2 linked regions of the Macaca mulatta genome follow. The protein of the gene in region 1 binds, or shares a complex with, the protein of each later gene. Links are inferred from orthologs where the notes say so. Each region holds a gene or a part of one and is shown on either strand. Other genes may lie near its edges.

Region 1 (7,638 bases):
CCCCAGCCCTTGTCCTTCGCGAGCACTCAGAGGAGCCCGGGCCTCCAGCCTCACCTCCTTCGGAGCTCCAGACCCCTCTCCTACGGAGAACCCGGGGATCGGACAGCCTTCCCTCCCCAGGCCCAGGCCCAGCCCCAACCCGTCCCGCGCACCCCAGCGTGGGTCGGATCCAATCCCCGGCAGATCCACAGGCGGTTGCGCCAGCCCCGAGCTCTAACGCGCCTCCGGGGCCGCCCCGCACCCACCAGCCTGCAGAGACCCTGCAGCCGTGTAACCTCGCCTTGCCACTGGGCGCCGCCACCCCGGCCCACCTGAGCTGCTCGCCGGGCAGGAGGCGGCCGAGCAGTCCCAGCCCGCGGGCCGCTGCGGCTCCGGCCACGCCTCCCCCGCGCAGCGCGCCCCCGCGCCGCCTGCTCCTTCTGGGCGCCCGCTGGGCCGCGCGGATCGGGGCGGGGATGAGGCCACGGTCAGGGTCCCGGGCGGGCAGGGAAGGAGCCCCAGAGCAGGCGACTGGAGCGCGAGTCGACAACGGGACTCGAGTCCAGGTCCACACCGGGCTCCGAGCCCCGAGAACGTGAAGGGGCAGGGCTTCGGGCTCGGAACAAGGAGGAGCCAAAAGCTTTGGACCCGAAGGGAGACAGACGGGATCCGGAAAGGAGGCGGGGTCTGGAGCTCGGCGTGAGGGATGAGGCGCGGTCTCCGTTCGGGTTCCTTCGGGCACAATCGGGAGCTTGAGTTCACGGGAGGCGGGGCCACAAACTTCGGCTCACTTCGGAGATAGTCGAGAACGGAGCGCTGGGGCTACTGTGGGCGGGGCCACATGTTTCGGCTTTCTTCGGAGATAGTCGATTCCTTAGTGTCACTGTTCCGATGTGGGCGGGACCACAGACTCGGCCGGATGTGGGTGGGGCCATATGCTTCGGTTTACTTCGTAGATAGTTGGGTACAAGGGACGCTAGGATGATAGGCGGAGTCAACAGGTTCGCGAGATGCTGATAAGGATTTACAGGGGGGCGGGGCGAAAGCGGCTTGCCCTCAAAGGGGCGGAACCCCGAGGGCCGGCGTGCGCCTAGGGCACGGGGCCAGGGTGACGAGCCTCAAGTTCCCAAGCTGAGGAGAGGAAGCGGCAGAGGGAGGTGCGCTCGGTGGGGCGGGGCCAAAGTGGTCACCGCGGGAAGAGGGCGGGGCTTCGAGCCTGCGAGGGGCGGGTCCTGACTCCCCCCGGCGCTGACGGGGCGGGATGACGAAGTTGACGAGAGGGTCGGCAAGAGCGGGTGGAGGAAGGAGCGCGTGGCGCGGTGCGTAGTGGGTGGCTCCGCCTCGACTGCGAGTTAGTGTTTATGAGGTGACTCGCTGGTTCTGTCCGTGGACCGTGGGACATTCTGAAGGGAAGCAAGGAGGCGGACTGAGCGCTCCCAAGTGGGGTGAGCCCGCCCGAGCGGAGAGCGGACGGCGGGTGCCCAGGGGGCGGGGCTTTCGGCTATGGGGTTCGGTCGTCGGGCGGGAACTCCCCATCGGGGGTGCGCTGGCGCTCGGAGGGGGCGGGGCCACAGCCTGCGGGACTGCCGGGAGCCGATGACGCCCGAATGCCGAACCTCAGGCGTCCGGCAGGAGGCGGGGCTACGGATTCGGCCGAGCCGAGAACACCCGAACGCCAAATTGCTCGCGTTCGAGAAGGGGGCGGGGCTGCGGATTCGGTGAAGCCAAGGACGCCCGACCGCCGCAATTCTTGTGCTCTGAAGGGGGCAGGGTTTTGTACTGTTGGAGTCTGAGCGCTTGTAGACCCGAAAGCCGAATCACAGTGGTTCGGAAAGAGGAGGAGCCAAGGCCGGAGCGTCCCGAAGTGGGTGTGGCCTTGGCAGTGCCTTAGCCTCGAGAGCTTCTGACCCCTGAGGGGGGCACCCGAAGGGGGACGCCCACTTTGCAAGAGGGTGGTGCCAAAATGGACCTTTGTAAGGGGGCGTGTCGCCGCGCTTGGGGAGGTTTGTTTTTGAGACTCCAAGGCACAATGGTAGGTACGGCAGTGTGGGCACAAAGCGGGTGCCGACTGCAGGGTCACAAGGGTAGAGCAGGGCCCCGGGGACGCGGCGAGGGGCGAGGGCTGCCGGTCGGTCTCCGGCGGCCGCGGGGCCTGGCGGGATCGCCCTGGGGTGGGGCCTGGCGCTCCGGCCCAGCAGGTGGTGAACGGCGGCTGAGCGAGGCCCCGCCCCCTGAGGACTAGGGGCGGGTCTTCGCCAAGACCCCGGAGGCTTTGGTTGTGCTCCGGTGGCCCGCGGCGCGCAGCCGTTTCGGTAACTGCTTTGCTTCCCGGCTCCCGCAGGAGGATGCTAGTGGTGGAGGTGGCGAACGGTCGCTCCCTGGTGTGGGGAGCCGAGGCGGTGCAGGCCCTCCGGGAGCGCCTGGGTGTGGGGGGCCGCACGGTAGGCGCCCTGCCCCGCGGGCCCCGCCAGAACTCGCGCCTGGGCCTCCCGCTGCTGCTGATGCCCGAAGAGGCGCGGCTCTTGGCCGAGATCGGCGCCGTGACTCTGGTTAGCGCCCCGCGCCCAGACCCTCAGCACCACAGCCTGGTAAGGGGGCGGGGCTCGAACGTCTGGGTTCGGTGGGAGCGGGACTTGGGAGTCAGGATTCCTGGTTTCCGAAGGGACCGTAAGCTTGGAGGTTCCAGCGAAGTGTGCTTCTCAGGCCCTGACAGCCTTCAAGCGCCAGCAAGAGGAGAGCTTCCAGGAGCAGAGCGCCTTGGCGGGATCCCTGGTGGGATCATAAGGGGGCGGGGCCGGGACCCCTGGGTTCGGTGGGAGCCGGGCCTGGGAGTCAGGATTCCTGGCTTCCGAAGGGACCGTAAGCTTGGAGGTTCCAGCGACGTGTGCTTCTCAGGCCCTGACAGCCTTCAAGCGCCAGCAAGAGGAGAGCTTCCAGGAGCAGAGCGCCTTGGCAGCTGAGGCTCGGGAGACCCGTCGTCAGGAGCTCCTGGAGAAGATTACGGAGGGCCAGGCTGCCAAGAAGCAGAAACTAGAACAGGCTTCAGGGGCCAGCTCGAGCCATGAGGCTGGCTCGAGCCAGGCTGCCAAAGAGAACGAGACCAGTGATGGCCAGGCTTCGGGAGAGCAGGAGGAAGCCGGTGAGTATGGGAGGTGGAGTCCACGAACCACGGGAAGGGGAGGAGAGATCTTTTGGAAATTTTAGCTGGGAATCCAGTGCCTGGGTCTCCCTGAGGGTGAGAAGACTTTGCCCCTTGGATTTACCAAACTCTTCTCTGTACTCCCCACCAGGTCCCTCCTCTTCCCAAGCAGAGCCCTCAAATGGGGTAGCCCCCTTGCCCAGATCTGCTCTCCTTGTCCAGCTGGCCACTGCCAGGCCTCGACCTGTCAAGGCCAGGCCCCTGGACTGGCGTGTCCAGTCTAAAGACTGGCCCCACGCCGGCCGCCCTGCCCATGAGCTGCGCTACAGCATTTACAGAGACCTGTGGGAGAGAGGGTTCTTCCTCAGTGCGGCTGGCAAGTTCGGAGGTGACTTCCTGGTCTATCCTGGTGAGTTTGGGTTGGGGCCTCTGGTTGCTGTGCCTTTCCATACGATCCCAATGTATTCTGCGTTTTTTTTTTCTTTCTTTTTTTTTTTGTCTTAATAGAGATGGGGTCTCTATTGTTGCTCAGGCTGGTCCCGTTTCCTGGGCTCAAGCAGTCCTCCCACTTCGGCCTCCCAAAGTGCTGGGATTACAGGCCCAGCTGCATTTTTTTTTTTTGTCTCACTTTCTCTTAGCCTCTGAAATTCATAGATGGACAGGAAACATTTTGGAGCTCCTGAACTCATTGGGAAAGCAGTTTAGCAACTTTTATTAAATGTTTACTATGATCCAGAAGATTCGCTTAGAAGTAGTTAGACATCAGGCTGGGCGCCATGGCTCACGCCTGTAATCCCAGCACTTTGGGAGGCTGAGACAGGTGGATCACCTGAGGTCAGGAGTTTGAGACCAGCCTGGCCAACATGGTGAAACCCCGTCTCTACTAAAAATACTAAAACTAGCTGGGTGTGGTGGGTAGGCGCCTGTATTTCCAGCTACTCAGGAGGCTGAGGCAGGAGAATCACTTGAACCCAGGGGGCAGAGGTTGCAGTGAGCTGAGATGGTGCCATTGCACTCCAGCCTGGGGAACAAGAGCGAGACTTCGTCTCAAAAAAAAAAAAAAAAAAGTCTAGAGCGGAATAGTTGGGTCCAAGAGCATCTGTTTTAGAGTATCCATAGTGATTGCTGAAATGATCTCAAATCTCCTCCCAGTGGTCATTCCTGTGGCATCCAGCCCTCTGCCATTGGTCACTGCTTCAGCGCTTCTCTCCCTCCCCTAGGTGACCCCCTCCGCTTCCATGCCCACTACATCGCTCAGTGCTGGGCCCCGGAGGACCCCATCCCACTCCAGGACCTGGTTGCTGCTGGGCGCCTTGGAACCAGCGTCAGAAAGACCCTGCTCCTCTGTTCTCCGCAGCCTGATGGTAAGGTGGTCTACACCTCCCTGCAATGGGCCAGCCTGCAGTGAACTCCAAGACCTAGGGGGACATGGCTGTGTCTGCAGCAAGAGCCTTTCTAGATGTTCCCCAGCTCTTCTCTGGGAGTCTAGAACATCCTCCTACCTTTCTCTGCGGTTAGTTTTTGATTCCAGGTTTTCGAACACTACATCCTTTTTATGTTCTTCCTTGTTTGAAAGCACTTATTGGCTGTGTTTTTGTAGTTACCTGTTTTCACACTGTGAGCTTCCTGAGAATGGGGCCTGGGTTTGATTCATCTGTTTTCTACAGGGTTTAAGTCTCAGGAGATCTCAATAAACTTGTTATATAAATGTTCATGATTTGAATGTTTATGATAAACCTGGAACCGGTGGATAGTCTCATCTGCATATACAGATGAGAAAAAGGCCTGGAGGAGGGGGAATGACTTGCCCAAAGTCACACAGTTAGTAAATAGCAGGCCTGGCCTTTCAAAATTGGTTTTCCTCACTCCTAAATCTGCACTCTTTCTACCGCACTAAACTTCCTTTTGAAAAGATTTCTACAAAATTTCCCAGATGCATACAAAGGTTATAAATAAAAATATAGGCTGGGCATGATGGCCCACACCTGTAATCCCACAGAACTTTTGGAGGCCAAGGCAGGAGGATCGCTTGAGTCTAGGAGTTTGAGACCAGCTCTGGCAACACTGTAATACCCATCTCTACAAAAAATAATTTTAAAAAAATTAGGGATCCCTTGAGCCCTAATTAGGGAAGTTGAGGCTGCTGTGAGCTGTGATTGCACCACTGCACTCCAGCCTGGGAGACAGAGCAAGATCCTGTCTTGAAAATCTATATGTATATATATGTGTGTGTATATATGTAAATATACACACACGTACGTGTGTGTATATATGTGTGTGTATATATATCGTGAAAGGAAATGAGTATTGTAATTTTAGGAGTTCAGAGCATGGGGAGAGTGTCAGGAATGACTCTGGAAGGCATTCTGCTTTTTCATGGCCTGGGTAGTGGTTGAGAATTTTTTTGATACTATACATTTATATTTTAGACTCTTTTTTTGGATTTGTTATATTCTGCAATTTTTATAAAAGCTAAAACACATGTATATGTATAAAATATGCACTTACGAAATCATTTATCCATGTTTTTGCTTAAGAAAGTACTAGAACACTACCACTATTCCAATAATTTCACCTTTATCTTATCAATATGCAGTTTTATTTTGTCACGTTTATTTTGTCAGTGTAATACATTCACATGGTGAGGCCGGGCGCAGGGGCTTACAATCCCAGCACTTTGGGAGGCTGAGGCGGGCAGATCACGAGGTCAGGAGTTCGACACCATCCTGGCCAACATGCTGAAACCCTGCCTCTACTAAAAATGCAAAAATTGAGCCAGGCTGGTGGCGGGTGCCTGTAATCCTAGCTACTTGGGAGGCTGAGGCAGGAGAATTGCTTGAACTCGGGAGGCAGAGGTTGCAGTGAGCCGAGATCGTGCCACTGCACTCCAGTCTGGGCGACAGAGCTAGACTCTGTCTCAATAAAACAAAAACAAACAAAAAAGACATTCACATGGTAAAGTTCTGGGGCTGAAAGTCTCCACCGCTAGTTCTTCAATTTCTTCCCCCCATGTTTCATTCTTTCTCTTTTTTGTGTGAATTGAGCAGCCTCTAGAACCAGAATAGGTTTAGAGAGACTCCCATCTTCCCTCTTTCTTGCCATTCCCAGTAAACAGACTCATAGAATCTCAATTTCCTTTAAGTTTAGATTAATTTAAAATATGATACTGGGCCAGGCGTGGTGGCTCACGCCTGTAATCCCAGCACTTTGGGAGGCTGTGGTAGGCAGATCACCTGAGGTCAGGAATTTGAGACCAGCCTGGCCAACATGGTAAAATCCCATCTCTACTAAAAATACAAAAAAAAATTAGCTGGGCGTGGTGGTGCACACCTGTACTCCTAGCTACTCAGGAGCCTAAGGCAGGAGAATCACCTGAACCCAGGAGGCAGAGGTTGCAGTGAGCCAAGATCGTGCCACTGTACTCCAGCCTGGGCAACAAGAGCTAAACTGCATCTCAAAAAAAAAAAAAAGACAAGACTCCATCTCAAAAAGAAAAAAGACCCCTGCCTGGCCAATACTCTCTTTGTGCCTGCTTCATAAGTGGCTTTGTATGTCTATTCTCCACCCTTTCTCCTGTCTACAACAAAGTACTTAGAAGTCTCATTACCTCTGTCAGGAGTCTCCGCTCTGAAATGTTCCTCATTTAAAACCCTTGTGGCTGGGTGTGGTGGCTCAGACCTGTAATCCTAGCAGTTTGGGAGGCCAAGGTGGGAAGATCAGTTGAGCTCAGGAGTTTGAGACCAGCCTGGGCTGAACATAGTGAGACCTCGTCTCGTCTCTATTTAAAAACAAAAAAACTTTTGTGACTGGTGTCCCCACATGTTGTCAGTCAACAAATTCTATAGGTGCCATGTTCAAAGCACTGTGGATCCACAGTTTGGCCCCACCCTCCACCTTCACTACCAGCATCTTAGAAAAACCGAACCATGGCTCATTTGATCTTGATAGCTTCCTAACTCATGCCCTGCCTGCTATTCTTGCCCCTCTATTGTCTGTTTTCAACAGAGCAGCCAGAATCATCATATTAAAAGTTAAGTCAGACCATGTCATAGCTCTGTCTAAAACTCGCCTGGAGTTTTCCATCTCAGAGTGAAACCCAAAGGTCCCACTTTGCAGCTTCCTCATGAACTGACCATGTGCATCTTCTTCCTTGCTTATTATTATTTGTTTTTGAGACAGAGTCTTGCTCTGTTGCCCAGGCTGGAGTGCAGTAGCACAATCTCGGCCCACTGCAGCCTCTGCCTCCTGGGTTCAAGCGATTCTCCCACCTCAGCCTCCCAAGCACCTGGGATTACAGGCACCGGCCACAGTGTCAGGCTAATTTTTTGTATTTTAGTAGAGACAGGGTTTCATCATAATTGCCCAGGCTCGAACTCCTGAGCTTAGGCAATCCACCCACCTCAGCCTCCCAGAGTGCTAGGATTATAGGCATGAGCCACCGACCCCCGGCCAGCTTTGTTCCTCTTTACTGCTGAATATTCCATTTATGGACATAACTGCATTTTGTTTATCCATTCACC
Region 2 (6,521 bases), on another chromosome or scaffold:
ACTTCCATTTCATTTTTGACAGTGATTTCTCTCAACTCTGAAAACAAAACCCCTTTTACAACTCTGAGTTAGTTTTCAAATGTTAGGGTTTCCTGCGTGGGTATTTGGGGTAAGTATGAAAATGTTTTGCCGCTTAAATCAAAGAACTCCGGAAACAAATATAAATTGAGAATGGAAAAAGAGTAGTGAATAAGATGGAAATTTCTATTCTAAATTTCAGTATATGGGCTAGAATTCCCATAAAGTTTTCCTTAGGGAACACCCCCCACCCCCACACACACACATACAAACACACTTTCTGATTTAAATAACATTATATCTTCAGAAATGGAAAATGTGTAAAAGTTGTGTTAACAGGCTTCCTTCTTGTCTGTGTCCCATTCTCATCACAGTCTACCAGTTGGGGATGTTTAGAGAAATATATCTTGTGGCATTGAAGTGGCTTTATGTGCATTATACACTGGGTTTTATGTATGTTGCATACTGTGAAGTAATCATGATACATGCTGACAACAAAAGATGTAGATAAGTTAAAATTTTAGTTGATCCATTGTCTGTTTCTTCTTTTCCATCTTTGTAGAAAAAAATTAATTCAAGATGGACAGCCTATAAAAATTGATCTTTTTCTATTATTATTAATTTAGATATTGGTGTGCCACTTTTGAAGAAGGAAAATACTTAGCTACTAAAAGATTTGCGTTGAAGAATCAATTGTGATATGCTGCCTTTTATCACAGTGTGATTTCCCATCAGTGCTGAGTAATGAAGTTTCTGATTAATATCTATAGTTGCTTTATCAGAATATCTTTCTCTAAAGTAAATCATTCTTATGAATAAGAATCTAGCTAATTGTAATATAGTTCAGCATAGGTGGAAATAATTTTTTAAGGACTAAGTCAATTTCTGGGATTCAGACTGTTTCAGAAAATAACCATTTTCTATAATTCCACTAATGGCACAGTGTAACTTAGTATGTTTGGGTTAGTATTCAGTTTTAGCAATAATCATGGAGGCAGGGTTATCTATAAATATTATATCCCAATTTGCAAGGTAGCAAAGCTGGTATATGTACTACATAATATGACCACTTGACAGTTTACGAAGTCTTTTCATATATGCCATTTAATTGATTCATATAATAATCTTATGTGTAGACATAAGGGTGTACTACTATCTTCATTTCAAGTATCCTTGAAAAGACTTTCTCCGTTGAATTGCCTTTGTACCTTTGTCAAAAATCAACTGACCAGGCTTATAGCAGGTTAAGAAGTAACTTATATGACAGTATTAACACAAAGGATGGGGGAAGGAATGAAGCTATATTGGAGTAAACAGTGACACCAGATAGTTACATGAAGAAATGAAGAATACCTGAAATATTAAATATGTGAATGTAAAAAGACCCTAATATATTTTCCTTTCTCCTCTTAACTTTATAAAAAGAAAATTATATAAAGTAATAATTATAACACTATATTACTGGGTTTAAATATATAAATGTATATGACAATAATAGCATAAAGGAGGAGGAAAGGAATAAAGCTCTATTGGAGCAGTTTATATTTTTTAGAATCAAGTTAGTGTTAAGCTGAGAGAAATTGTGATAAACTAAGACACAATAGTAATCTCTAGAGTCACCACTAAGAAACTCAAGAAACTATAGTAAAAAAAAAAATTATTAATTAAAATGGCGTACTAGAAAATACCTATTTAATAGAAAAACAAGGTGATAAAGGAGGGTGAGAGGAAGAAAAAAGACATGTGATATATAGAAAACAAATAGCTAAATGGCAGGCATGAATCCAACCATACCAATGTTAATTTTAAATGTGAATAAACACTCAAAAGGGCAGAGATTGTCAGATTGGAGCTAAAAACAAGATCCAACTATATGCTGTCTATAAAAGATATACTTCAGATTCAGAGACATCAATTTTGGAAAACTGTCAACTATTTCTATACCATTCTCTTTCCTTTCCTTCTGTGATTCCAATGATGTGTATGTTAAACTTATTTGATACTATACCAGAAGCTTCTGATGTTATTTTTTTAAATTATTTTTTCTCTTTGTACTTCAGTTTGGTTTCTTGTGACCTGTTTTCAAGTTTTCTAGTGCTTTCTTCTGTGTCACATCTAGTCTAATTGAGTGACCGCAACTCCTAAGTATATTGTGACTTTATTTTCAGGATAAGGGAGATCTTGAAGGCATCTCGAAAATTGCAAGGTGATCCAGATTTGCCGATGTCTTTTACTTTGGCCATAGTGGAGTCTGATTCTACAATAGTCTATTATAAACTTACTGATGGATTTATGCTGCCAGACCCTCAGGTCAGTTTTGAGGTAACTGACAGCAACAAGTACAAAAAGAGGAAAATTATGACATGATTTTAAGTGTGACTCAAGTCATTCACAGAACTGCCACTTCCTTTGCCATAGGGAAAATTCAAGAAAAAAAGTATTGATTTTCATACCTCAGAAAATTGGCTATATTTTGTTCAAAGTAGTGTATTCCTAGTTATTGTTGCAAAAAAATTGATTTCCTTACTCTATGGAGAATTTCATGGTTTTCCAAAGTATTTTATGAAGTCATCATGCATTTAATTATTTAGTGAGTAACTGAGGTGGAATGTAAAGGCTAACAATAGTTGTAACTAAAAAAACGCTTCTTTAAGAAATGTTAAATTGGTTGACATTTTGACAGGAACATTTTAATAAGATAAATGGGCTATATGTGATTTCTTTACATACTTTGTTGGCATAATTTGGATAATTACATTAAATAGCTTTCTAATTTTGCTTTTGGATTACATTGTTTATTGGAGAAAAGTCCATTCTGATCTTTTTTTTTTTTTCCAGAATATTTCTCTTAGAAGATGACATCTGTGTTTCCTGATGCTTGTTTTATTCATACAAGATTGGATTTGAGAACCATCAGACTGCTTTTATCTCAGAGATAGTCAGGGTTGACTTAAATAGTGAGGGTTGACTTCCCCATTCCATAAGGTTTTCATTCTGAAGAATAAAACTTCCCTAGATAGAAGACTTTCTCCTTCTTAAAAAATATAGAGTGATTTCTTTAAAACTTTCTTATCTAGAGACAGTTTAATTACAGTTGTATACAGGTTTATGCCTAGGATGTGTTCAAATGGGTGGGACCTGTCTGCTGCTTTTGTCATCCCACACTCATAGTTGCCTCTTGGTTTCTTGCTGCCACTGCCAGCTCATTGTTGAGACTGCTATCTCTTTTTCTCACTCAACTCTCCCCAGTGCGTTTTGGCCACTGCAGCTATGTTAGAATGGCATTTTATATATACCTTGTCACCTACTTCTGCCTGCTTTTTCCTCTCCAGTAGAAAGTAAAAGATTTCTTTCAATTGGTCTTCCTGTTGCAATTACTGTTATTTCTCTTTTTTGGTTAACTTTAAATCAAAACTCAAAATATGTTCATCCAGAGTGTAAACTTAAGTGTCTTGAGTAACAGGAACCAGAGACATGTTACCTACAAGAGTTCTGGGCTATCCTTTTCATTCTTATCACATATCATAGCTTGAATGTTACAAGAGTGTGGGAGAGTATGAACCTTAAAAATGTCTTCATTAATTAGACCCAGTTATTCCACTTTTGTTAATGTCTCTCAAATTGTACAAAGTATGAAAAATTATATGCACAAAGATATTCCAAGTGACATTACTTTTAGTAGCCCAAATTATAAACCACTTTAAAGTTTGGGGTAAAGATTGGCAAACTTTTTCTATAAAGGGCCAGAAAGTAACTATTTTAGGTTTTTAACCTACTGTCTCTGTCATAACTTGTCAACACTGCTGTATGAAGCACAAAAGCAGCCACAGACAATACATAAACAATATGGGCGTGGCTTTGTTCCAGTAAAACTTTATTTACAAATGTGGCGCCATAGTTTGCATCCCTGCATCTAAGGAATAGTCAATAAACAGATATATACAAATGGTACATAATGTACTTACTAAAAATTAGTAATGAATATTATTAAAAGCATGAAAATGTTACATTAAGTAAAAATTGCAAGATGGAAAAGTGTATGAGTGGATGTAATCATGGCTGAAATAACAGACCAAGCATTCTATAAAAAGATAACAAAGTAAATCAAATTACTAACCGGTTATAGTGGGATGGGAGGCAGAAAATGGATGACTTTGTCTTTTCTTAATGTTTTTATTTGTATTTCTTTTATAATAAAAATGTTTTAAAATTAAAAAGTGTCTTGAAATCTGTATTAGTTATCTATCATTGCAAAATAATATTACCACAAATGTAGCAACTTAAAACAGCACACATTTATTATCTTATAGTTTTTGTGGGTAAGGGACCTGGGCACAGATTAGTTGGGTCCTCTGTGAGGCTCCAGTCTCATCTGAGACTTGACCGGGGAGGGGTCAGCTTTTTCACCCACATGGTTATTAGTAGCCTTCAGTTCCTTGAGAGTGCTCAATGCTTATGTGCCATTGGCAGGAGGCCACCCTCAACTCTTTGTCACATGGGCCTTCTCAATATAACTGGTTGCTTTCTCAAAGCCCGCAAAGGAGAGTCTCAGCAAGATGGACTGTATAATCTTATATAATGTAATCACATACATCCCATCACCTTTGCCATATTCTGTTGGTTGGAAGCAGGTCATAGGTCCTGCCTACACACTAGGGTTTCATGGCTGATTAGGAAACAATAATAACAAGAATGGAAAAAATGATGAAAATTAGGACCATCACAAAATAGTATAAAGCATCATTCTTCATCTGTAGTCATTCGTGACTCCTTCCTTGGATGGTATTTGAATTTCACTTTTATTCTTGGTGGGAGGTCTCCATAACTCCTTCAGGCTCCCTCTGCTTCCCCAGAAGACATGAAGATGCACCTATTCGGAATGATATGTGTTTTGGTGACTCTAGTGGAAAATTTGCAGGCCTAAGAATCCTAAAACAGTTTATGATAAATTCTTAGGGTCTCTTGATTTGTTAAGTCTCTCATTTGATTAATTTTGAGGTCTTTCATTATAATTCCAGAAAATAGCATTTTCTGAAAGAAGTGTAAGGATAATGAATGTCAGATTTGTGTGTCAGATCTGTTGACCAGTGGGCTCCTATATAACTACAAAACCGAAAGTGTCATTTGGGATTGGCTGTGAAAGGTGCTTTCTCAACTCTTTAAAACTAGGATTCAATCCTGCTGTATGTCTTGCTATGTTTACTCTATTTCAGAATGTTCCCTGTGTACTTGACCAAAGTTGTTCTGTCCAAAGCCAGCCAGATACATCCTAACATGAATAATGGCCCAGAACTGTTTGGAAAGGGAGGCCACCCAGCTGTGTGTGTCTCATTTTAATGAAAAACTAGATAAAGTGATTTAAGTAATTTTGTAATTGAGTTTACATTTGTCTCCTTGTTAGACTGGACTCCTTAAGAACATAACAAGAAATCATGTATTTTTTAATATATCTCTGTATCCTGCCTCTTTGCACAGTAACTCACATATAGTAAACCCACAGTAAATACTTGGCAAATGAATGAATGCTGATTATAGACATGTCTGATTATATAATGGCTTATTTCTTCCCTCAAGGCAAATAAAACAATTCATTTGAACACCAGAGGGCACTGCTAGATAACCACAGCATTTTCAGACTCTACTAAGAGTAGATTGGCTGGAGAAGTGATGCTCTTGAACATTTATTTTCAATCTGTGGGAAATAGCATAAATAAAAATATAAGTAAATTTTACATACTCACATCCCCTTTTTCTTTCTGGCATGCCTCTAAAATTATACTGACATTAAATACGTGACTTGATTCATGCTTTGCTTGAAATGTAGATCTATATTTAGAAATAAAAGGCTGTTTGGGGTAGGAGTAGATGGGGTGGGATATACTGGCTAAGTGCTGATGGTGAAAGATATGTATTGCTGCTTTAATACAAGCAGGTATGCCTTGTTATATTACAATTCTCTTTATTCTGTTTTGGAGATAATGTGTTTTTTACAAATTGAAGGTTTGTGGCAACCCTGCCTCAAGCAAGATTGTCGATGCCATTTTTCCAACATGTGATCATTTTGTATCTCTCTGTCATATTTTGGTAATTCTTGCAATATTTTAAACTTTTTTATGATTATTATATCTGATATGGTAATCTTTTTATCAGGGATATTTGATGTTACTATTGTAATTGTTTTGGTGTGCCACAAATTGTGCCCATATAAGACAGCAAACTTAGTTGATAAATGTTATGTGTGTTCTGACTGCCCTACCAACCAGGCTTTCTGCGGTTTCTCTCCCTTCTGGCTTCCCTATTCCCTGAGAAATAGCAATATTGAAATTAGGCCAATTAACAACCCTACAGTGGCCTCTATGTGTTCAAGTAAAAGGTAGAGTAGTACATCTCTCACTTTAATTCAAAAGCTAGAAACGATTACACTTAGAGAGAAAAACATGCCAAAAGATGAGATAGGCCGAAAACTAGGCCTCTTGTGCCAAACAGCAAGTTGTGAATGCAAA

Evidence for each region.
Region 2: the proteins of TSEN34 (region 1) and TSEN15 are in contact, whole or in part, in a crystal structure (PDB 6Z9U), measured with the Homo sapiens proteins. The link is inferred for Macaca mulatta from reciprocal best matches to the Homo sapiens genes TSEN34 and TSEN15. Residues at the interface, in NP_001070914.1 of Homo sapiens: Pro251, Leu252, Arg253, Phe254, His255, Ala256, His257, Tyr258, Pro265, Glu266, Asp267, Thr268, Ile269, Pro270, Leu271, Gln272, Leu274, Ser283, Val284, Arg285, Lys286, Thr287, Leu289, Leu290, Cys291, Ser292, Gln294, Val300, Tyr301, Thr302; in NP_443197.1 of Homo sapiens: Leu70, Lys74, Trp76, Thr108, Pro109, Ile110, Thr111, Ala112, Ser113, Leu114, Ser115, His116, Asn117, Ile119, Arg120, Leu123, Leu141, Ile143, Val151, Tyr152, Tyr153, Lys154, Leu155, Thr156, Asp157, Gly158, Phe159, Met160, Leu161, Pro162.

What each region holds. Positions count from the first base shown.
Region 1 is NC_133424.1:66,426,752-66,434,389, forward strand, and holds TSEN34 (tRNA-splicing endonuclease subunit Sen34), read left to right. Parts: upstream 1-1,339; 5' UTR 1,340-1,340; coding exon of another isoform or gene 1,341-1,345; 5' UTR 1,346-1,424; intron 1,425-2,267; exon of another isoform or gene 2,268-2,320; coding exon of another isoform or gene 2,321-2,324; coding exon 2,325-2,567; exon of another isoform or gene 2,568-2,874; coding exon 2,875-3,118; exon of another isoform or gene 3,119-3,269; coding exon 3,270-3,527; exon of another isoform or gene 3,528-3,686; intron 3,687-3,920; exon of another isoform or gene 3,921-4,338; coding exon 4,339-4,526; 3' UTR 4,527-4,618; downstream 4,619-7,638. UniProt on the Homo sapiens protein: Constitutes one of the two catalytic subunit of the tRNA-splicing endonuclease complex, a complex responsible for identification and cleavage of the splice sites in pre-tRNA. It cleaves pre-tRNA at the 5'- and 3'-splice sites to release the intron.
Region 2 is NC_133406.1:41,545,334-41,551,854, forward strand, and holds the end of TSEN15 (tRNA-splicing endonuclease subunit Sen15), read left to right. Parts: intron 1-2,186; coding exon 2,187-2,340; intron 2,341-2,856; coding exon 2,857-2,877; coding exon of another isoform or gene 2,878-2,893; 3' UTR 2,894-4,235; downstream 4,236-6,521. UniProt on the Homo sapiens protein: Non-catalytic subunit of the tRNA-splicing endonuclease complex, a complex responsible for identification and cleavage of the splice sites in pre-tRNA. It cleaves pre-tRNA at the 5' and 3' splice sites to release the intron.